Saccharomyces cerevisiae S288C: one gene and its partners. Changing the gene in region 4 together with the main gene of any one other region gives a genetic interaction. Each region holds a gene or a part of one and is shown on either strand. Other genes may lie near its edges.

Evidence for each region.
Region 1: mutations in SDH9 (region 4) and ALD3 together harm fitness more than expected from each alone (negative genetic interaction), as found in Saccharomyces cerevisiae (one large-scale study listed by BioGRID).
Region 2: mutations in SDH9 (region 4) and ERG24 together harm fitness less than expected from each alone (positive genetic interaction), as found in Saccharomyces cerevisiae (one large-scale study listed by BioGRID).
Region 3: mutations in SDH9 (region 4) and EGH1 together harm fitness more than expected from each alone (negative genetic interaction), as found in Saccharomyces cerevisiae (one large-scale study listed by BioGRID).

Annotation. Positions count from the first base shown.
Region 1 is NC_001145.3:598,226-603,071, reverse strand, and holds ALD3 (aldehyde dehydrogenase (NAD(+)) ALD3), read left to right. Parts: upstream 1-2,199; coding exon 2,200-3,720; downstream 3,721-4,846. Other genes in the region: aldehyde dehydrogenase (NAD(+)) ALD2, read left to right, coding at 1-1,510; CEP3 (Cep3p), read left to right, coding at 3,914-4,846. UniProt on the Saccharomyces cerevisiae protein: Cytoplasmic aldehyde dehydrogenase involved in ethanol oxidation. Involved in pantothenic acid production through the conversion of 3-aminopropanal to beta-alanine, an intermediate in pantothenic acid (vitamin B5) and coenzyme A (CoA) biosynthesis.
Region 2 is NC_001146.8:107,976-112,284, forward strand, and holds ERG24 (delta(14)-sterol reductase), read right to left. Parts: upstream 2,437-4,309; coding exon 1,120-2,436; downstream 1-1,119. Other genes in the region: POP3 (Pop3p), read left to right, coding at 1-299; HCH1 (Hch1p), read left to right, coding at 492-953; pheromone-regulated protein PRM1, read left to right, coding at 2,942-4,309. UniProt on the Saccharomyces cerevisiae protein: Delta(14)-sterol reductase; part of the third module of ergosterol biosynthesis pathway that includes the late steps of the pathway. ERG24 reduces the C14=C15 double bond of 4,4-dimethyl-cholesta-8,14,24-trienol to produce 4,4-dimethyl-cholesta-8,24-dienol.
Region 3 is NC_001141.2:368,376-373,678, reverse strand, and holds EGH1 (hydrolase), read right to left. Parts: upstream 2,976-5,303; coding exon 681-2,975; downstream 1-680. Other genes in the region: DNA primase subunit PRI1, read left to right, coding at 1-602; actin cytoskeleton-regulatory complex protein PAN1, read left to right, coding at 3,771-5,303. UniProt on the Saccharomyces cerevisiae protein: Ergosteryl beta-glucosidase involved in the ergosteryl beta-glucoside (EG) catabolic pathway and vacuole formation via hydrolysis of EG to generate glucose.
Region 4 is NC_001142.9:353,714-358,743, reverse strand, and holds SDH9 (succinate dehydrogenase SDH9), read right to left. Parts: upstream 2,721-5,030; coding exon 816-2,720; downstream 1-815. Other genes in the region: GTPase-activating protein GYP6, read left to right, coding at 1-444. UniProt on the Saccharomyces cerevisiae protein: Probable minor catalytic subunit of succinate dehydrogenase (SDH) that is involved in complex II of the mitochondrial electron transport chain and is responsible for transferring electrons from succinate to ubiquinone (coenzyme Q).

The DNA of each region.
Region 1 (4,846 bases), on a different chromosome or scaffold from region 4:
GTATACTGATATCGAAATCCCACAATTGAAAATCTCTTTAAAGCAACCGCTAGGGTTGTTTATCAACAATGAGTTTTGTCCATCATCAGATGGAAAGACCATCGAAACTGTGAACCCAGCTACTGGCGAACCGATAACATCCTTCCAAGCAGCTAACGAAAAGGATGTAGACAAAGCTGTGAAAGCTGCCAGGGCTGCTTTTGATAACGTTTGGTCGAAGACATCTTCTGAGCAACGTGGTATTTATCTTTCAAACTTATTAAAACTTATTGAGGAGGAGCAAGACACACTTGCCGCATTAGAGACTTTAGACGCTGGAAAGCCTTACCATTCAAATGCCAAAGGTGATTTGGCACAAATTTTACAGCTTACCAGATATTTTGCTGGGTCCGCTGATAAGTTTGACAAAGGTGCAACCATACCATTGACTTTTAACAAGTTTGCATATACTCTAAAAGTTCCTTTTGGCGTTGTTGCTCAAATCGTTCCATGGAATTATCCTCTAGCTATGGCTTGTTGGAAATTGCAAGGTGCCTTAGCAGCCGGTAACACGGTTATCATCAAACCTGCTGAGAATACCTCTCTATCTCTACTTTATTTTGCTACTTTAATTAAAAAAGCAGGTTTTCCACCTGGTGTTGTCAATATCGTTCCTGGTTATGGATCACTTGTAGGCCAAGCCCTAGCATCTCACATGGATATCGACAAAATATCTTTTACGGGAAGCACCAAGGTCGGTGGATTTGTGTTGGAAGCTTCCGGCCAATCGAACCTTAAAGACGTTACACTAGAATGCGGTGGTAAGTCTCCTGCTCTCGTATTTGAAGATGCAGACCTTGATAAGGCTATCGATTGGATAGCAGCTGGCATTTTCTACAATTCAGGACAGAATTGTACCGCAAACTCAAGAGTTTATGTTCAAAGTTCGATCTACGACAAGTTTGTTGAAAAGTTTAAAGAAACTGCAAAGAAGGAGTGGGATGTTGCAGGAAAATTTGATCCGTTTGATGAGAAATGCATCGTTGGTCCAGTTATATCAAGTACACAGTATGACCGCATCAAAAGTTACATAGAACGTGGTAAAAGGGAGGAAAAGTTGGACATGTTCCAGACCTCTGAATTTCCTATTGGTGGAGCTAAAGGCTACTTCATTCCCCCAACCATCTTCACTGATGTCCCGCAAACATCGAAACTGTTACAGGATGAGATATTTGGCCCGGTTGTGGTTGTTAGCAAGTTCACAAATTATGATGACGCTCTGAAGCTGGCTAATGATACTTGCTACGGGCTCGCCTCTGCGGTCTTCACAAAAGATGTCAAGAAAGCGCACATGTTTGCTCGCGATATTAAAGCAGGAACTGTTTGGATCAACTCATCTAACGATGAAGATGTTACCGTTCCTTTTGGCGGGTTTAAAATGAGTGGTATTGGTAGAGAACTGGGGCAAAGTGGTGTTGATACCTATCTTCAAACAAAAGCAGTTCACATAAATCTCTCTTTGGACAACTAATGTGATAGTTATCATTATGTAAGTGCGTAAGTACCTAAATAGCTTAGCCTGACGACGGATGAATATGTTGACAGTCTAGCAAACAGTAGTAGTCCACTACTCGATATAAAACTGTAAGCACCATTATTTCAGCATGCGGAACAATTGTTGTTACTAGGTCCTAGAAATCCCTTAAGATGGTAAAAAAATAGAGCTATAAACTCAGTGAGATTTATTTTTGTGTCAAGAAATTATACTTGCGTGTTAGTTTTCTCTATTCCCACCATTACGTAGATCTTCCGTCTTTTTTTTTTCTTTTTCTGCATATGACGTCTGTTCTTCCTTCCCCCCCTGGAGTACAAGGAAAGTATCACTATTAGAACTCTACAGTACCTTTCTTCCACGCCCTTTAGTGCATTTAGGGATTTTCATTACTGCTAATCCAAGACTTGAACCGGATTGTTGATCAGCCCCCTTCTTAAGCTGATTGCTAAACTCCCTAAGGGTTAAGGAATTAGTAAGTTTAGGGAGGAGACAGGGAGATTGTTCAAACGAATAGCGTAGATTTAACTGATCATACCTCAGAAACTAATTGTATAAAATGGCAAATCTGGATGGGAATAAATTTGACTCATGCCAGGTAATTATACCTTGGACTTGTATCATAGAGATATAGATTATACACATTTAGAAAATTAGCCAAAAGAAAAATGCCTACCTTGTATACTGATATCGAAATCCCACAATTGAAAATCTCTTTAAAGCAACCGCTAGGGTTGTTTATCAACAATGAGTTTTGTCCATCATCAGATGGAAAGACCATCGAAACTGTGAACCCAGCTACTGGCGAACCGATAACATCCTTCCAAGCAGCTAACGAAAAGGATGTAGACAAAGCTGTGAAAGCTGCCAGGGCTGCTTTTGATAACGTTTGGTCGAAGACATCTTCTGAGCAACGTGGTATTTATCTTTCAAACTTATTAAAACTTATTGAGGAGGAGCAAGACACACTTGCCGCATTAGAGACTTTAGACGCTGGTAAGCCTTTCCATTCCAATGCTAAACAAGACTTAGCCCAGATTATAGAACTTACAAGATACTATGCGGGGGCGGTCGACAAGTTCAATATGGGTGAAACCATTCCATTGACTTTTAACAAGTTTGCATATACTCTAAAAGTTCCTTTTGGCGTTGTTGCTCAAATCGTTCCATGGAATTATCCTCTAGCTATGGCTTGTAGAAAAATGCAAGGTGCCTTAGCGGCCGGTAACACGGTTATCATCAAACCTGCTGAAAATACCTCTCTATCTCTACTTTATTTTGCTACTTTAATTAAAAAAGCAGGTTTTCCACCTGGTGTTGTCAATGTCATTCCTGGTTATGGTTCCGTTGTGGGGAAAGCTTTAGGAACCCACATGGATATCGACAAAATATCTTTTACGGGAAGTACTAAGGTTGGCGGCTCAGTATTGGAAGCTTCCGGCCAATCGAACCTTAAGGATATCACACTAGAATGCGGTGGTAAGTCTCCTGCTCTTGTATTTGAAGATGCAGACCTTGATAAGGCTATAGAATGGGTAGCAAATGGTATTTTTTTTAATTCGGGACAGATCTGCACTGCAAACTCAAGAGTTTATGTTCAAAGTTCGATCTACGACAAGTTTGTTGAAAAGTTTAAAGAAACTGCAAAGAAGGAGTGGGATGTTGCAGGAAAATTTGATCCGTTTGATGAGAAATGCATCGTTGGTCCAGTTATATCAAGTACACAGTATGACCGCATCAAAAGTTACATAGAACGTGGTAAAAAGGAGGAAAAGTTGGACATGTTCCAGACCTCTGAATTTCCTATTGGTGGAGCTAAAGGCTACTTCATTCCCCCAACCATCTTCACTGATGTACCAGAAACATCTAAGTTGCTGCGTGATGAAATATTTGGCCCGGTTGTGGTTGTTAGCAAGTTCACAAATTATGATGACGCTCTGAAGCTGGCTAATGATACTTGCTACGGGCTCGCCTCTGCGGTCTTCACCAAAGATGTCAAGAAAGCGCACATGTTTGCTCGCGATATTAAAGCAGGAACTGTTTGGATCAATCAAACCAATCAAGAAGAAGCTAAAGTTCCTTTTGGCGGATTTAAGATGAGTGGTATTGGTAGAGAATCAGGCGACACCGGCGTTGATAACTATTTACAAATAAAATCAGTCCATGTGGATCTTTCATTGGATAAATAATTCGTTACATAGTTATATAAATGTTTACATGAGATTCAAAGCTTCATATTCTATGAAATCTTTATTTTTTACGGCTTTAAATGAAGTGCGCGCAGCCATGTAAGCTAAGCGTAAGAGAATGAAATATTATAACCAACCTTCAGAGAGCAGGTGATGACAAAAGTTACGAACACGAGTTTGCATCCTAATAATAATGTTTAACCGTACCACTCAACTGAAATCCAAGCATCCCTGTTCCGTGTGTACGAGGCGAAAAGTCAAATGTGATCGTATGATACCGTGTGGAAACTGCAGGAAGAGAGGACAGGACTCCGAATGTATGAAATCAACAAAACTAATAACGGCTTCATCTTCCAAGGAATATCTCCCTGACCTATTGTTATTCTGGCAAAATTATGAATATTGGATAACGAATATTGGGCTGTACAAAACAAAACAAAGAGATCTTACTAGAACACCAGCTAATTTGGATACTGATACTGAAGAATGTATGTTTTGGATGAATTATCTTCAAAAAGACCAATCATTCCAATTGATGAACTTTGCTATGGAAAACTTAGGTGCTTTGTATTTTGGTTCCATTGGAGATATCAGTGAATTATATTTGAGGGTGGAACAGTACTGGGATAGAAGGGCAGACAAGAATCACAGTGTAGACGGCAAATACTGGGACGCACTAATATGGTCTGTCTTTACCATGTGCATTTATTATATGCCAGTCGAGAAGTTAGCAGAAATATTTTCAGTATATCCTCTCCATGAATATTTGGGTAGCAACAAAAGGCTCAATTGGGAAGATGGTATGCAATTAGTCATGTGCCAAAATTTTGCACGCTGCTCATTATTCCAATTGAAACAATGTGATTTCATGGCGCATCCCGATATAAGGCTCGTTCAAGCATATCTGATTTTAGCCACTACAACTTTCCCCTACGATGAACCGTTGTTGGCAAATTCGCTCCTAACACAGTGCATCCATACCTTTAAAAATTTTCATGTGGATGACTTTAGACCTTTACTTAATGATGACCCCGTTGAAAGCATCGCTAAAGTAACCTTGGGAAGAATATTCTATCGCCTGTGTGGATGCGATTATCTTCAATCGGGGCCACGCAAACCAATTGCA
Region 2 (4,309 bases), on a different chromosome or scaffold from region 4:
ACCCTGATGTACCGCTTGTGCTCTTGCAGCAAATCCCGCTATTATGCTATATGGCGCCCATGACGGTTAAACTGGTGCAGTTGCCCAAGAGTGCCATGGATACCTTCAAGTCGGTTTCTAAATATGGAATGCTGCTGCTGCGGTGCGACGATAGGGTCGACAAGAAATTCGTATCGCAGATCCAGAAGAACGTTGATCTGCTTCAGTTTCCCTGGTTAAATGCTATCAAGTATCGGCCCACATCTGTCAAGCTGTTGAAAACTACAGTGCCAATTGTCTCGAAGAAGAGGCAAAAGTAGACAAAATTACCCGCGCAGGCCTATTTTTCTAGAAGACAGAAGAAAAAAGTGGGCAGAGAAAGCGAGGAAAAAAAGAAATACATATGAAGAAGAAAAAAGCTGAAATTTAAGCAAATACTTTTTGGACAAAATCATCAAACTACTACTAAAGTTTGAAACGATCGGAAAGTTACAACACATTTACGATAAAATATGGTTGTCTTGAATCCAAATAACTGGCATTGGGTGGATAAAAACACCTTACCTTGGTCTAAGGACTACTTGAACGGTAAATTAACGAGTTTGTCCACTGTTTCCTCTGATGGGAAGAGCAAAATTGAGTTAACCCAGGTGAGTAGCATCACCGGTGACTCCAACGTATCTCAAAGGAAGGGCAAGCCGATTTGCTACTTTGACTTACAGTTGTCGATGAACGTCAAAGTGACAAATTTGGATACTAATAAGGACGACGAGGATGATGACGGCATACTTGCGGACGGGAAACTAGAAATTCCAGAGTTTATGCATGACGAGTCTGATATTCCGATTTTGTCGCAAGGGTTTGATGCTTTTGATGGATTGGTTAGGTCTGAATTTGTCCCTAAAGTAGTGGAAACGCTACTAAAATACCAAGATGACTTGATTAAAGAACACTCAAAGGATATACAAGTTTGATGTGTTCATGTAACGAAAAGGGGAGCGTTGCATAGATAGACCACCGCCCCTTTTAATTTTTCCAGCGTTTTCAATTGTTATTCTTCTTCTTCCTCATACTCACCCAATACATAACATGTATACACACATACATAGATAATGAAGAAAATAGCAGTGGTAGAAAAACTTAATAAACATATGGAATGATCTTGTAAGGAACTTTTCTTTCGTATTCTTCCCAATTTTCGCCATATTTCAGGCGGCACTTGTGCTCATCACGTTGTTGACGGTGTAATAACAACGTGGCGAAGTACAACGAGTAGTAATATGTCAAGGGAGTTTGGAACCAGGTGGCCAAACACCAACTTAATGAAATCAGCCAATCGCCAAAGTAATTGATATGCTGTGATTTAGCCCACCACCCGTCACATAATAACTTTGTACCACGCTTTGTCTGAATACTTTTTAGATTTTCTAATTTACCTTGTCTAAACTCAGATTTTTGCTTATTTGCCGAGTGGAAGATGTGGAAACCCAAAAACATTATGGCTAATATACCGACAACTTTCACCCATCCCAATTCCACAGGGGAAACACTCAAGTAACGCGCTTGTAATGAGTAGGTGAATGGAACTAAACTTAAGTCACCAAACGCTAGCATGAAACCAAACCCATCTGTAGTGATATCCATCATGGTTAATACACCTTCCTCGTTTAGTACTCCATCGAAAATGTAAAATCCTTGCAAGAAATTAACCAAGACCAATGCATCGTTGATTTTACCAGTCTTCAGGTAATGGTGATGCAGACAGGAAAGATTGATCAGTAACCATAACAACATGCCGGGTCTCAACTCTGAAAACATCTTGATATCTAATGGGCCGAGACGAGGGTTCAGTTCTCTACCAATAAACCAATCGTAAATGATGTTTCCTGAATTTCCACCTAGTGCTAAGATCTTTTCCCTTTTGCCATTACCATTTTTCTTGAAGATCAATGGTATGAAGCTGGCAACATAGCAGTACGTCGCCAAAAAGAACGAAAACAAAATAGATATTATGCATAAACTAACGTGATTTTCATACAGATATTGCAATTCAGGCAATTGTCCATCAGTCAATTTCCATCTGATAGCCAAAACTAAGACCAAAGTTGTAGACATGGCAATTCCATTGATCTTATACGAAAGCTTCGAACCATCCCTTAACTGAACACCCTTCATGACTCTGCCCGGTAAAATGACGTCCAAAACTGCCAGTATTCCATACCACAGGCAATAGACAGTCCATAATTCACGATTGCCCAGATAGTAGCGCAATGGCTTGATACCGTTCCAAAGCTCAACTATATCGAAATTCTGGAAAAATCCCTTAATAAAATAATCGGGCCTTATCATTTGATTCAAGATGATAGTGAAAACAGGCAGCCCTATGCTGATGCCTAAGGCACCAATCAGCCCACCAAATTCAAACTCTGTAGTTCTGGGATTCAAAGCTGATACCATCCTTTTATTCTCTACACCGAATTTGTCTTTACTCCTATGCTGTTTACAAGGTCTATCTGATAAGCAATTGCGCAAGAAAATAGTAGAATGAAAACTGATTATTAAAAACAAACGTAAACTCAAGCCTCACTTGATGCTCAGACGGAGTACGTGAAAAACGTCCGTTATGCAAAACCCTTTATATGCACAACCTTCACACAATGCAAATTTCCGATGATGCCTACATACAAAAGAGCGAAAGGCGATATAAATTTTTTTCACGGGATTTTCGTTTAGGTGAAAATAAAATGAACGACAGAGCATGCAGAGTCCGGGTAATACATATGTTTCAATACTGTTTCAATACTGTTTCAGAAGTGCGTCACATATTAATTTTAACTTATAACTGGCCTGTTGCTGGCAAGAGGTATATATATATGACGAATGTGACCAACATAAGTCCTTAAGATAATCCCGAAATATTTGGTTAGGATGATTCCCTTTCGAATTTGTGAACGTTGATGATATGAGCGGTTTTAAATGCTATTTGCAATTGGGTGACAGGCTCTCTCAAATATGGCTAAATAAGTATACTTTGGTTTTGCTGCTAGCAATGCTGAAGCTTCTGTTTTTCTCCAAATCCATACAACATGCGATAGAAGTCTCGGAAACGTATATTTTGTCCAATTGTTACAGTATTGATTCACTATACTCCAAGATGACAGACAACACGCCGCACTATTTAGGTATCATGGGGAATTATCTTATCGAGAAGGGTATGGAGGAGACTGTTAAAGCTACGCTAGAGACGTTATCACTTATAGTATATGCGAGCGAGGGGCTGGTAAACTTTGCCATTGACCTGTATTTGGGCACTTATGCCTGTTTGATTGTTAGTGCCGTTGATGGTACCGTGGACGTTGCTACTAACATTACAGAAAAACTGATTAGCTTAGTCAATGATACAGTTTCAAGTGTGGCTAATGAATTGGATACGGGCTTGAATGACATCTCCAAAATAATCAATAAAGTGATCAAGGCCGCATCCAAAGTAGAGAATTTTTTCACAGGTGATGACGATGACAGTAACATGACGTCGTCAATCAAAAGCGTCAACTTAACCATATCTGCGCTTCACAATTTATACATTCCTTCCTCAATCAACGATAAGCTTGAAGAGTTATCGGCAAAGACGCCGGACTTTGCCCAGGTTAAGAATACAACCAAGAACCTGATCTCGGTTCCCTTCAATGAAGTTCGGAAGAATATCAAGGCCGTGAATGCCAGCAATATAATCGGAGATACCTCCGTTTTGTACGTACCTCCCGTGTCCCTTGACAACAGTACTGGGATTTGCTCATCCAATCAATCAGAAATTTTGGCCTTTTATTCCATCTTGGGACATGTCCTGAAAATAGCCACCGTAGTGTGCATTACCGTATTGATATGCTTCGCTGTTGGTGCGATGGCGCCCGTTGCATGGAATGAAATCAAGCTCTGGAGGCGCCTTTGCGGAATGAGAGACCATTACATGCTGAGCAGGCAAGATTCGTATACGTCCTTTTCCAGTGAAAACACGCACGAATTGAAAGATCCATTTAGAGATCCTCCTATACAAAATGGCCAATATGATGTCATTGCAAGCTATCAGCAGTGCTTTCAAACATGGAACACAAGAATAGCAGGCTGGATGACAAATCTTGTTACCTTTGGAAAATCACCAGAGAACATTGACCCAAAGACTAAACAAAAAATAGAATGGGTAGTGGCTTATATGACCTCCGAAAGAGCACTGTGTGTTCTTGGAATTGGACTTTTGGGAATTTTAGTGTGCATATGCCAATTTGTCATGATAGCACTGTTAAAACACAAGATAAGCCATTCATTGACTTCT
Region 3 (5,303 bases), on a different chromosome or scaffold from region 4:
ACCCTCATCTTGCTCGTTCTTTGGAGCAATTGAAACCTTTCTTTGTCAGCATTATGCTCGAAGAGCAAAATCCTTGGGAAGATGACCAACATGCTATCCAAACTTTATTGCCTGCATTATATGATAAACAATTGATTGATTCATTAAAGAAGTATTGGCTGGACAATCCAAGGAGGTCAAGCAAAGAGAAGTGGAATGATATAGATCAGATAGCTACATCGCTCTTCAAAGGCCCCAAGCAAGACTCTCACATAATTAAGTTACGTGAATGTAAGGAAGATCTCGTATTGATGACTCTTTATCCGAAGCTGGATGTGGAAGTTACAAAGCAAACAATTCATTTGTTAAAGGCCCCTTTTTGTATTCATCCTGCTACGGGGAATGTCTGTGTGCCTATTGATGAATCCTTTGCACCTGAAAAAGCACCTAAGCTAATTGATCTTCAAACAGAAATGGAGAAAAATAATGATGTTTCATTAACAGCTTTACAACCTTTTATCAATCAGTTCCAAGCATATGTGAGTTCTCTTTTGAAAAATGAACTGGGTTCAGTGAAAAGAGAACGTGAAGATGATGATGAACCGGCTTCTTTAGATTTCTGATGGTGAAATCTTTTTGTAACAATAAAAAGGGTGTATATATATATATATGACTACTATAGCTTTTGGTTCAATTTTTGTTTAGCTGATAACGCATTCCGCTGGTAAGTCATTCGAAGTGTCACTTCCAGGGGTGTTGGGCCTTGACTTCGATTTTGCGCAAATTTCAATGAACTGATGGCCAGGCTCGTGAAACCATTCAAGAACCTGGTAGTCAGTGTTATAGGTATAATGACCTGATGATGAACGAATTGACAACCGGCTTGGTGTAAAATGGTGCCGTGGTATAAAAATATATGTAGGGACAGTTATCTGTTCAGGTGTCGTTTTACCAACTAATTTCAAAAGGTAGGATTTATTACATAAGTTAAACTCAGCAAACTCAAATCTTCCGTGAATTTGTATGGGGAATGGTCTCATTATAGCATCAAGAGCTCTGAACCCTGACAAGTCGCTCTTTAAAGTGCACGAGGGACTATCCAAATCTAAATGATTATCTGGTTTTATGAAACTTGGTGGTTGTGAAGAACCCGATTTAGATGTAGAAGTGGATACCGAAGCCACAGTAGAGGCTGGAGATGGCTCAGGAGTAGGAGTTTTTGCTCGGGTATCGTGATAGAGTGGTTTGTCATCCGGGGACCAAATCGAAAAATCTTCATTGTTCCAATTGTCACCCCATATATGTGAATTAATACTGCAATAACACCATAAGGTGTACGAAAGATTACTTCCTTCTAATGCAAATCCAAGAGCATCCAATGCAGCGGTCTGTGAAGAATAGTCATTTGTAATATATGCTTTCTTGTCGTCCATGTCAAATGGAATACCAATTTCGGTGAAGAATACAGGTACTTTTTTTCCAAGCATGGATTTAGCGTCCTTTTGCATTTCTGATAATTGCTTCCTAATGCATTTCCGTATATTGTTTTCGCCAAGCACTACAGCAAAGGCAGGATTTGAGTATTTTTTGTTTACTAGTCCATAGGTGTCTATGCCAATTCGTTTATTCCATGTCTTATACATTAGTGTCATACCATCATAAAAATGACATGCACAAATCGTCCTATTGTCCAATATTTTAGAATTTTGTAAATTGGGTGGTGGCTTCATTACCGGCGGTTGGATTATAATAAACAATTCTTGATCGAATTCCCTAAACTTGTTATAAATTCCAGTGTAATAGTCAACAAAATGATTGTTTATAAATACCGTTGCATCAGGTTGGCTAAAGTAATTTGGTTTGAGTAAAACAGGGCGTTTACCATTCTGAATCTCCCAAACACCATGGAGTTTCCAAATGCAAGTGTCTGGTTTCCATTCAGGGTTCCTTTCCCAATTATACTTCGCATCTATCGCATCTCTTTCCTCTGCACTCAGCCAAGCTTTTTTGCCTTTGGGATTGATTGTGCACGGTTTTCCCTTAGAAAATCCAAAAAATGTCCTTTTATATTGATCTATTGTGCACTCAATACCTTCACCCAGCATAAAGCTTTGAAATGCCGTTGGCGTTTTGCCCAATTTCAAATTTCTCTCTTTCGGAATCACATCGAGATTTGTTTCACCAATGTAACCACAGTTTGGCTCGTTCATAGACTCTAATCCAATAATGCAGTTGCTCTCAAACAACTCAGGAGCCTTTTCTTTAATTCTTGCGCACAGTGTCATGATTGCATCATTAAACCTTCCTTGCAAGTAATCCTGTATGTTTTCTCCATTAATTGTGCACTTAGGAGCATATTGTTTCCCACCAAAGAATAACGTAAACATTGTTTGACACGCCAGTTTGAAGTAGTTTGTAGGCCAAACCATCTTAGGGTAGGACTCTTCATCTTTGCCAACTTCCCTGCCCGTTTTGGGGTCAATATAATAATTATGTAAGATTGCAGCATCGGTGGCCAGGAAGTTTGCAGGTTGAAACCCTGCACAGTATAAGGTCCATAGCGGTGCTCCAGATCCACCGCTAAACCTAGACCAGACGTCTTGGTGAGGGTCCAAATAAATGTACATACCTTGTTGTACGCTGTTAATCCTGGTTAGTACCTCGACGATATAATCCATATAGTCAAAATCGTACTGTCCTGGACCAGCATGTTCAAGAGATTCCCAGGTGAAGGGTAAACGAATGGTATTGTAACCCAGTGATTTCAATCTGATGATATGCTGTTCGATATCATCAAGAACTAAGGGGTGATTGATGAAACTGACTTTATCAGCATCCTCGAAAAACGTGTCATTTTCTATGGGAGCGTGGGTGGATAGGAATGGCTTTGCAGGGATTTTAACTGACGGATCCAAATTGACACCACGCAATTGGATCTCGTTGCCATCTTTATCGCAAAACTGACCGTCTGCAGAAATGTGTATTTTGGCAGGCATATGATCTGTTCTTATTAAATTCAAACAATTTAGGTACGAAAGAAAAAGAAATAAATAAATAAAAAAAGAGAAGAAAGGTTAAGAAAATAACTGTCAGTAGAATTATTGCGAAATATAGAATTAATATTAATTCCATTGTTAAGGTTTACCAGAGATATAGAAACCTTAAACGAAGGCAATATTCGAGCGGATATGAAAAAAATAAAATAAACATACTCCGATACGGGGAGTCGAACCCCGGTCTCCACGGTGAAAGCGTGATGTGATAGCCGTTACACTATATCGGATTATAATCTATATTTTTTCTACTTCGATCTTATGTACTACTAATTTGATAATTTTGGGTTTAATATGGTTTTTTACTGAAGTACCTGCTTACCAACAGTAGAGATATTTAACGAATGCTTTCCTAAGACGCTTTTTATGCTTCAATTGGGCAGATATTAAAAATTCATCAATTAACAATGTTTATTTGACAATCTGGTTCGTCAAAAAAAAAAAAAAAAAATCACGTCCAGATCTGTTAAACCTTAAAGGTAGGTGCTCACGATAACCGATTGATCTCTCAGTCGCATAGTAGCTATGTATACTCTGTTTATCAATCGCTTGTTATTATAAATTGGCTTGATCACATGACACGTCGACGATATTTTTTTCTTGTTAGGGGCAAAAGTTGGTATTGGAAGAAAAAAAGCATTAGAAAGCCATATAGATCTATTGGCGAAACACACGTCGAGAAGCAGGAAGAGGAAGAATCTATCAGCGACGCGAAATTGCTAATCTGTACAACTGAATATGTATAACCCGTACCAGCAACAGGGCATGGGTTACCAGCAGCAACAGCAGCAACAGCAGCAACAACCAAATGGATTCTACCCGCAGCAGCAGCAAGGTCAGTCTTCAAACCAGCCCCAAGGCCAGCCTCAACCACAACAGCAAATGGCGTTTAACCAGCCTCAGGCTACCGGAATTGGTGGGATGCCTCAAAGTTTTGGTAATTCTTTCTCAAGTATGCCACAGCAGCCCCAAACGGGTTACAATAATAATGGAAATAATGGTAGTGTATATGGTAATGGTAATTTTGGCCAACAACCCCAGCAGCAACAACAGCAGGCGAAACCGCAGCATACGGGATACGTACCAAATTCCAGTATGCCTATGATGAATACTACTGGCACCATGCCTCCACCTAATCCGGCTCAACAGCCTCAGCTACAATCCATACAACCCCAAGGAACAGGCTATTACCAAGCTGCTAATACTGCAAATGTACACTCAGTACAACCTTTGCAATCTCAAGGGACAGGATATTATGTGTCTACACCCAATTTGATCTCTTCTAATCAAACCCAGCAGCCCCTTCAGGCCCAGGGCACTGGTTATTATCAATCTCAACCTCAACAGGTGCCACCTCCTCAGCAAGCACAGTCCTTGCAACCTTTGAAGCCGCAGCAAACAGGATTTTACCTTCAACCGCAAAACCAAGCTCCCTTAGAACCATTAAAGCCCACCGCAACTGGCTTTGTCAACTCATTTGCCAACAACGGTCTAAACAATGATATCAAAATCCCTGCCATTAGATTGTCGTTTATTACTGCCCAAGATCAGGCAAAATTTGAGACTCTATTCAGATCAATTGTTACCAATGGTTCGAATACTGTTTCCGGTGCTAATTGTAGGAAAATTTTGATGAGATCCGGTTTGCCACCTTCTCAACTCGCAAGAATTTGGACGCTTTGTGATACATCAAAAGCAGGTGAGTTACTGTTTCCTGAATTTGCATTAGCAATGCATTTGATCAATGATGTCTTACAAGGTGACACTATCCCTTACGAATTGGATTCTAAGACAAAAAACGAAGTTTCAAGTTTTATTGACGCCATTAATTTAAGCATTGCAAACCAGGATTCTTCCGCAAACGATGCCCCAAAAACTCCCTTTGATGAATTCATTACAGCGGGCGTACAAAATTTGCAACCTCAACCAACAGGATATATGCCTCAAACTAGTTTTGGTATCCCATTACAGTCTCAAATTACTGGAGGCGGTGTTGCCTCGGCGTTGAATCCTCAATCCACAGGATTTATGGCACCAACCACTTTCAACATGTCAATGAATACCGGAACTCCCGGATTGAACCCCCAAATTACTGGAGGAGCACCTGCCTCTATGCAACCCAACATTACTGGCAATGCTTTGCAACCTCAGACAACTGGTATGATGCCACAGACAACTGGTATGATGCCACAGACAACTGGTATGATGCCACAGACTTCATTTGGCGTTAATTTAGGACCTCAGTTGACCGGCGGTGCTTTGCAATCTCAG
Region 4 (5,030 bases):
GTCCTGACGTTCAATTATCCCTTGGATATTTTCATTGCATGCACTATCATCACCCTTTTGTTATCCATTTACGATGAGCTTCACGAACTAGTGAGCCAAGGTGACTATGAACATACGAATAATAACGATGAATTTGTTGAATTGATTTTGCATTTCAAGAAAATTTTTGAAAAGGAAGATGCCAGTAAAGATGATGAAAAGTTTTTAGACCTGTGTAAGGTCACTGGAAATTTATGTGAATTGTGGTATGGAAAAAATTACGACGATATGAGATTGATTTGCGACACTTTTATAAATGCGAAGTTCGGCATAAAGACTAGTGATGTTTTAAGTATGGAAACAGCAAAGTTGACTATTGATCCTAATAGACAATCACTCGAAAACAAACTGAGGGAGAGGGTAAGGCAAACAATTTTGAAGAACAAAAAGAAAATAAGCCAATAAGTTTTTCTTGTCAATTACTCGTTGTTATTTGTTTGAAATCCCAGCCTGCACACCCGCACGACAAAATCAAAAAAAAAAAAAAAAAAACCCAGCTACCACCAACAAACAGATAGCCCACATGTCATATTTCCTAATGAGCTGGTTTCCCTCTGATATTTTTGCATATTGCAGCTCGACGTATATTGTACTTCAATGTCTTGCATAAAATTATATAGCATAATAGATAAGGTGTAAGTTGACAGTAAACGAGTACTATTGACCAAGAATCAATGAGAGAGATAGAGAGAAAAATAAGAAAAAAGGGAAAGATCATTTTTGCCAGATCAATAAATAAGTTTGCCCTCCAAAATAAATAAATAAATAAATAAGAATTAATAGGATCTGACAGCTGGAGGGACTGGGGCGCATTCATTCTCATCTAAAGTATGTGCGATTACATTCCTGTACTTGATTTTTACAGGTGTTGATGTCCCCTTTTGCCATGATAATGTGTGCTTTCTCCAATTCACATCATCTCTTTTTGCATAGTCCTCTCTCGCATGAGCACCACGAGACTCCTTTCTTTTGGAAGCAGAAACAGCCGTTTGTGTGGCACAAGTAAGTAAATTTTGCAATTCCAGAGTTTCTACGAGATCAGAATTCCAGATCATTGACTTATCAGAAACGTGCACATCCTCAAATGTCTTGTCCACTTCAGTAATATTTCTAACACCTTCATCTAGAGTGTCTTGCGTCCTGAAAACAGAAACATCTTTTTGCATTGTCCTTTGCATGTTCAACCTGATTTGAGAGGTTTTCAGTGAGCCGCGAGCATTTCTTACTTTATCCAAATTAGCAATTGACTCGTGCCCGATGTTTGAAGCCAATGGCTTATGAGGCAAGCCAGGCTGTAATGTGTCAGCAATGGTATTTGCAACGGCGCGACCGAAAACGACTAAATCCAGTAGTGAGTTAGCGCCTAATCTGTTCGCTCCATGAACCGATACGCAAGCAGCTTCACCACACGCCATCAATCCTGGGATGACCTTATCCTCTCCAGTTTCCTCGTCAATGGTCAATGCTTCACCAGTCCATTTTGTGGGAATGCCTCCCATATTATAATGGACAGTTGGCAAGACAGGAATTGGCTCCTGGGTGACATCGACACCCGCAAAGACAGCAGCTGTTTCAGATATTCCCGGTAGCCTTTCCTTTAGTACCTCAGGTGGTAGATGGCTTAATTGTAAAAGGATATGATCCTTGTTTTTCCCGACACCTCTGCCAGCCCTGATTTCCATGGTGATTGCTCTGGAAACAACATCCCTGCTTGCCAAGTCCTTGGCAGTAGGAGCATAGCGTTCCATAAACCTTTCTCCTTCAGAATTCAATAAAAATCCACCCTCACCACGGGCACCTTCAGTGATTAGGCAGCCAGACCCATAAATTCCTGACGGATGAAATTGAACAAATTCTAAATCCTCTAGTGGAAATCCAGCGCGAGAAACCATAGCATTACCGTCACCTGTACAAGTGTGAGCAGAAGTGCAAGAGAAGTAAGCTCTACCGTATCCGCCTGTCGCGATGACGGTCTTATGTGCTCTGAATCTGTGAATTGTACCGTCCTCCTGATTATAGGCAATGACACCCACAACCTCGCCATTATGGGTCAACAAATCCATTGCAAAGTATTCAATAAAGAAGTGTGTATTATTTTTCAGCGCTTGTCCATACAATGTATGAAGCATTGCGTGACCTGTTCTATCTGCCACCGCACAAGTCCTATAGGCCTGTCCACCTTTACCAAAATCTTTGGATTGTCCCCCAAATGCTCTCTGGTAAATCCTTCCATCTTCAGTCCTCGAAAAGGGCATACCGTAATGTTCTAGTTCAATGACAGACTTAGGTGCTTCTCTTGTCATGTAATGGATTGCATCTTGGTCTCCGAGCCAGTCAGAACCCTTGACAGTGTCGTACATGTGCGATTTCCAATCATCTGGATGCATATTTCCCAGCGCAGCATTAATTCCACCCTGAGCAGCCACAGTATGTGACCTTGTTGGAAACAACTTGGATAAACAAGCAGTCTTGTATCCAGCTTCAGCCAAACCGAAAGCTGCTCTTAAACCTGCACCGCCAGCGCCTACCACCACACAATCATATTCATGGTCGATAATATGATATTTGGCCGGCGGTTTCGATTCAGATTTCACTTCCCCAATTTGACGAACAACAGAGGAAGAAGTGAAAGTTCTTTGCAAGATGTATGATTTTGTTATTCCTTTTTTCAAAGATAACATAATTTATTAGCTCACGTGTATACATGTATATAGATATACGTATTTAGGCTCCTTCTTTTCTTATTTTAGCAGATAATTATTTAGAAAGTATATATAAGAACTTAGCTCTGACTAGAGTGAAAGAAATTTGCCGAAGTGTCGGTTGGATTGCCTTTTTTGCCACCTTGTGGAACCTTACTGTTCCGTTAAAGGGAAGACCCTTATATTCTAAAGGGAGCCACATAAGTCCGGAGAAGAGGAGCGCGACCTGAGAAAAGCGACTTGAGCGGCTAACGGGTTAATAAAGCTTACGGAAAATTAATGCATTGCAGCTTCCTATGAGTTTTGTCATTCTTATAGAAGCCGAAAATTCAAATAGATGATTTCTTGCGTGGAACCATAGGTATTCACACTATCTCTTCACAAAACTTGTTATATTGCAAGTATCTGTTGCCTCACATACGTACTGTATCAATCTGGATCTTAAAGTAGTAACTACAACAGCTTCAAAAAAAATCTCCGCGACGGGGAATTGAACCCCGATCTGGCACGCGACAAGCGCCCATTCTGACCATTAAACTATCACGGAAGAAACAAAGCACTCACGATGGGGGTCGAACCCATAATCTTCTGATTAGAAGTCAGACGCGTTGCCATTACGCCACGCGAGCTACTGTTTGTTGGAAGATTGGGATTAAAGGTAAACTATGCTTTGATTTCACCAATCTCGCAAACCAACGTTGAAAATCTAAACTCTCCTACTACATTTGCGTTTGGTAGCAGAATGTTGAGGAATAATAACCAATTACCATTTAGTTGACTAGTATTTATATGTCAACACTGTTGGAATAAAAATCAACTATCGTCTATGTTGGAATAAAAATCAACTATCATCTACTAACTAGTATTTACGTTGCTAGTATATTATCATATACGGTGTTAGAAGATGACGCAAATGATGAGAAATAGTCATCTAAATTAGTGGAAGCTGAAACGCAAGGATTGATAATGTAATAGGATCAATGAATATTAACATATAAAATGATGATAATAATATTTATAGAATTGTATAGAATTGCAGATTCCCTTTTATGGATTCCTAAATCCTCGAGGAGAACTTCTAGTATATCTACATACCTAATATTATTGCCTTATTAAAAATGGAATCCCAACAATTACATCAAAATCCACATTCTCTTCAGTCTATCAACTAGTAGTCATACTACCAATATATTATCATATATGGTGCTAAGATGATGGCATAAGTTATGAGAAGCTGTCATCGAAGTTAGAGGAAGCTGAAGTGCAAGGATTGATAATGTAATAGGATAATGAAACATATAAAACGGAATAAGGAATAAAACGGAATATTAGTATATAGAAATATAGGTTCCATTATGAGGATTCCTAGATCCTCGAGGAGAACTTCTAGTATATTCTGTATACCTAATATTATAGCCTTTATCAACAATGGAATCCCAACAATTATCTCAAAATTCACCAATTTTCATCTTTATCAAAAATGGAATTCCAACAATTATTAAGTTATAACCAAAATTAAAAATTCACATATTTCTCACAAACAAAATCTTTACAATCACTTATTGATCAGATATAATCCTGCAAAATGGAAAGAAATTATTAATTATGAAGAAGGGTACGGCGGCCAAGAGAAATTTCATCCACATTCTATTTAGAGCACATTAAAAAAATCTCCCGGGGGCGAGTCGAACGCCCGATCTCAAGATTTCGTAGTGGTAAATTACAGTCTTGCGCCTTAAACCAACTTGGCTACCGAGAGTGATAAATGATTAATAACCAAAAAATTTTGTTTCATCATACAAATTCAAAGAAAGTATTGTTTCATAAGAATGTTGCTGAAAGGACTTTGAGTGAATTGTGAACAGTTTGATAATTATTGGTCCAAATGGCGACATTGAAGACACAGTGTAAATTATTCAATGATGATTTGGCCTGGTTTTTACAAATGATTTTATCGACGTCAAGAGGATACAGTTCAAGAACGGTTAAGCGACATTGACAAAAAATGCTCAAAAACCACTGGTGCAACTTTACTGGTGGCAGTTTTTTGAAGTGAAAAGGAACTTTATTCTGGAGCGGAAGAAATTCAATAAATGTCACCACAATACCGATGCTATTCTTAGATGATCGATAAAATTAAGTACTATCTGTCGGTTTCTCAAATAACAGTATAAATATTTAGTTCACATTTAGAGACGGCTGAATCGTAACAAAATATAGTTCTTATAGATCTAAAGTACGAACACTCCTAATGTATCGCTTATATTGAAGTTTGCTGTGAATCTAGGA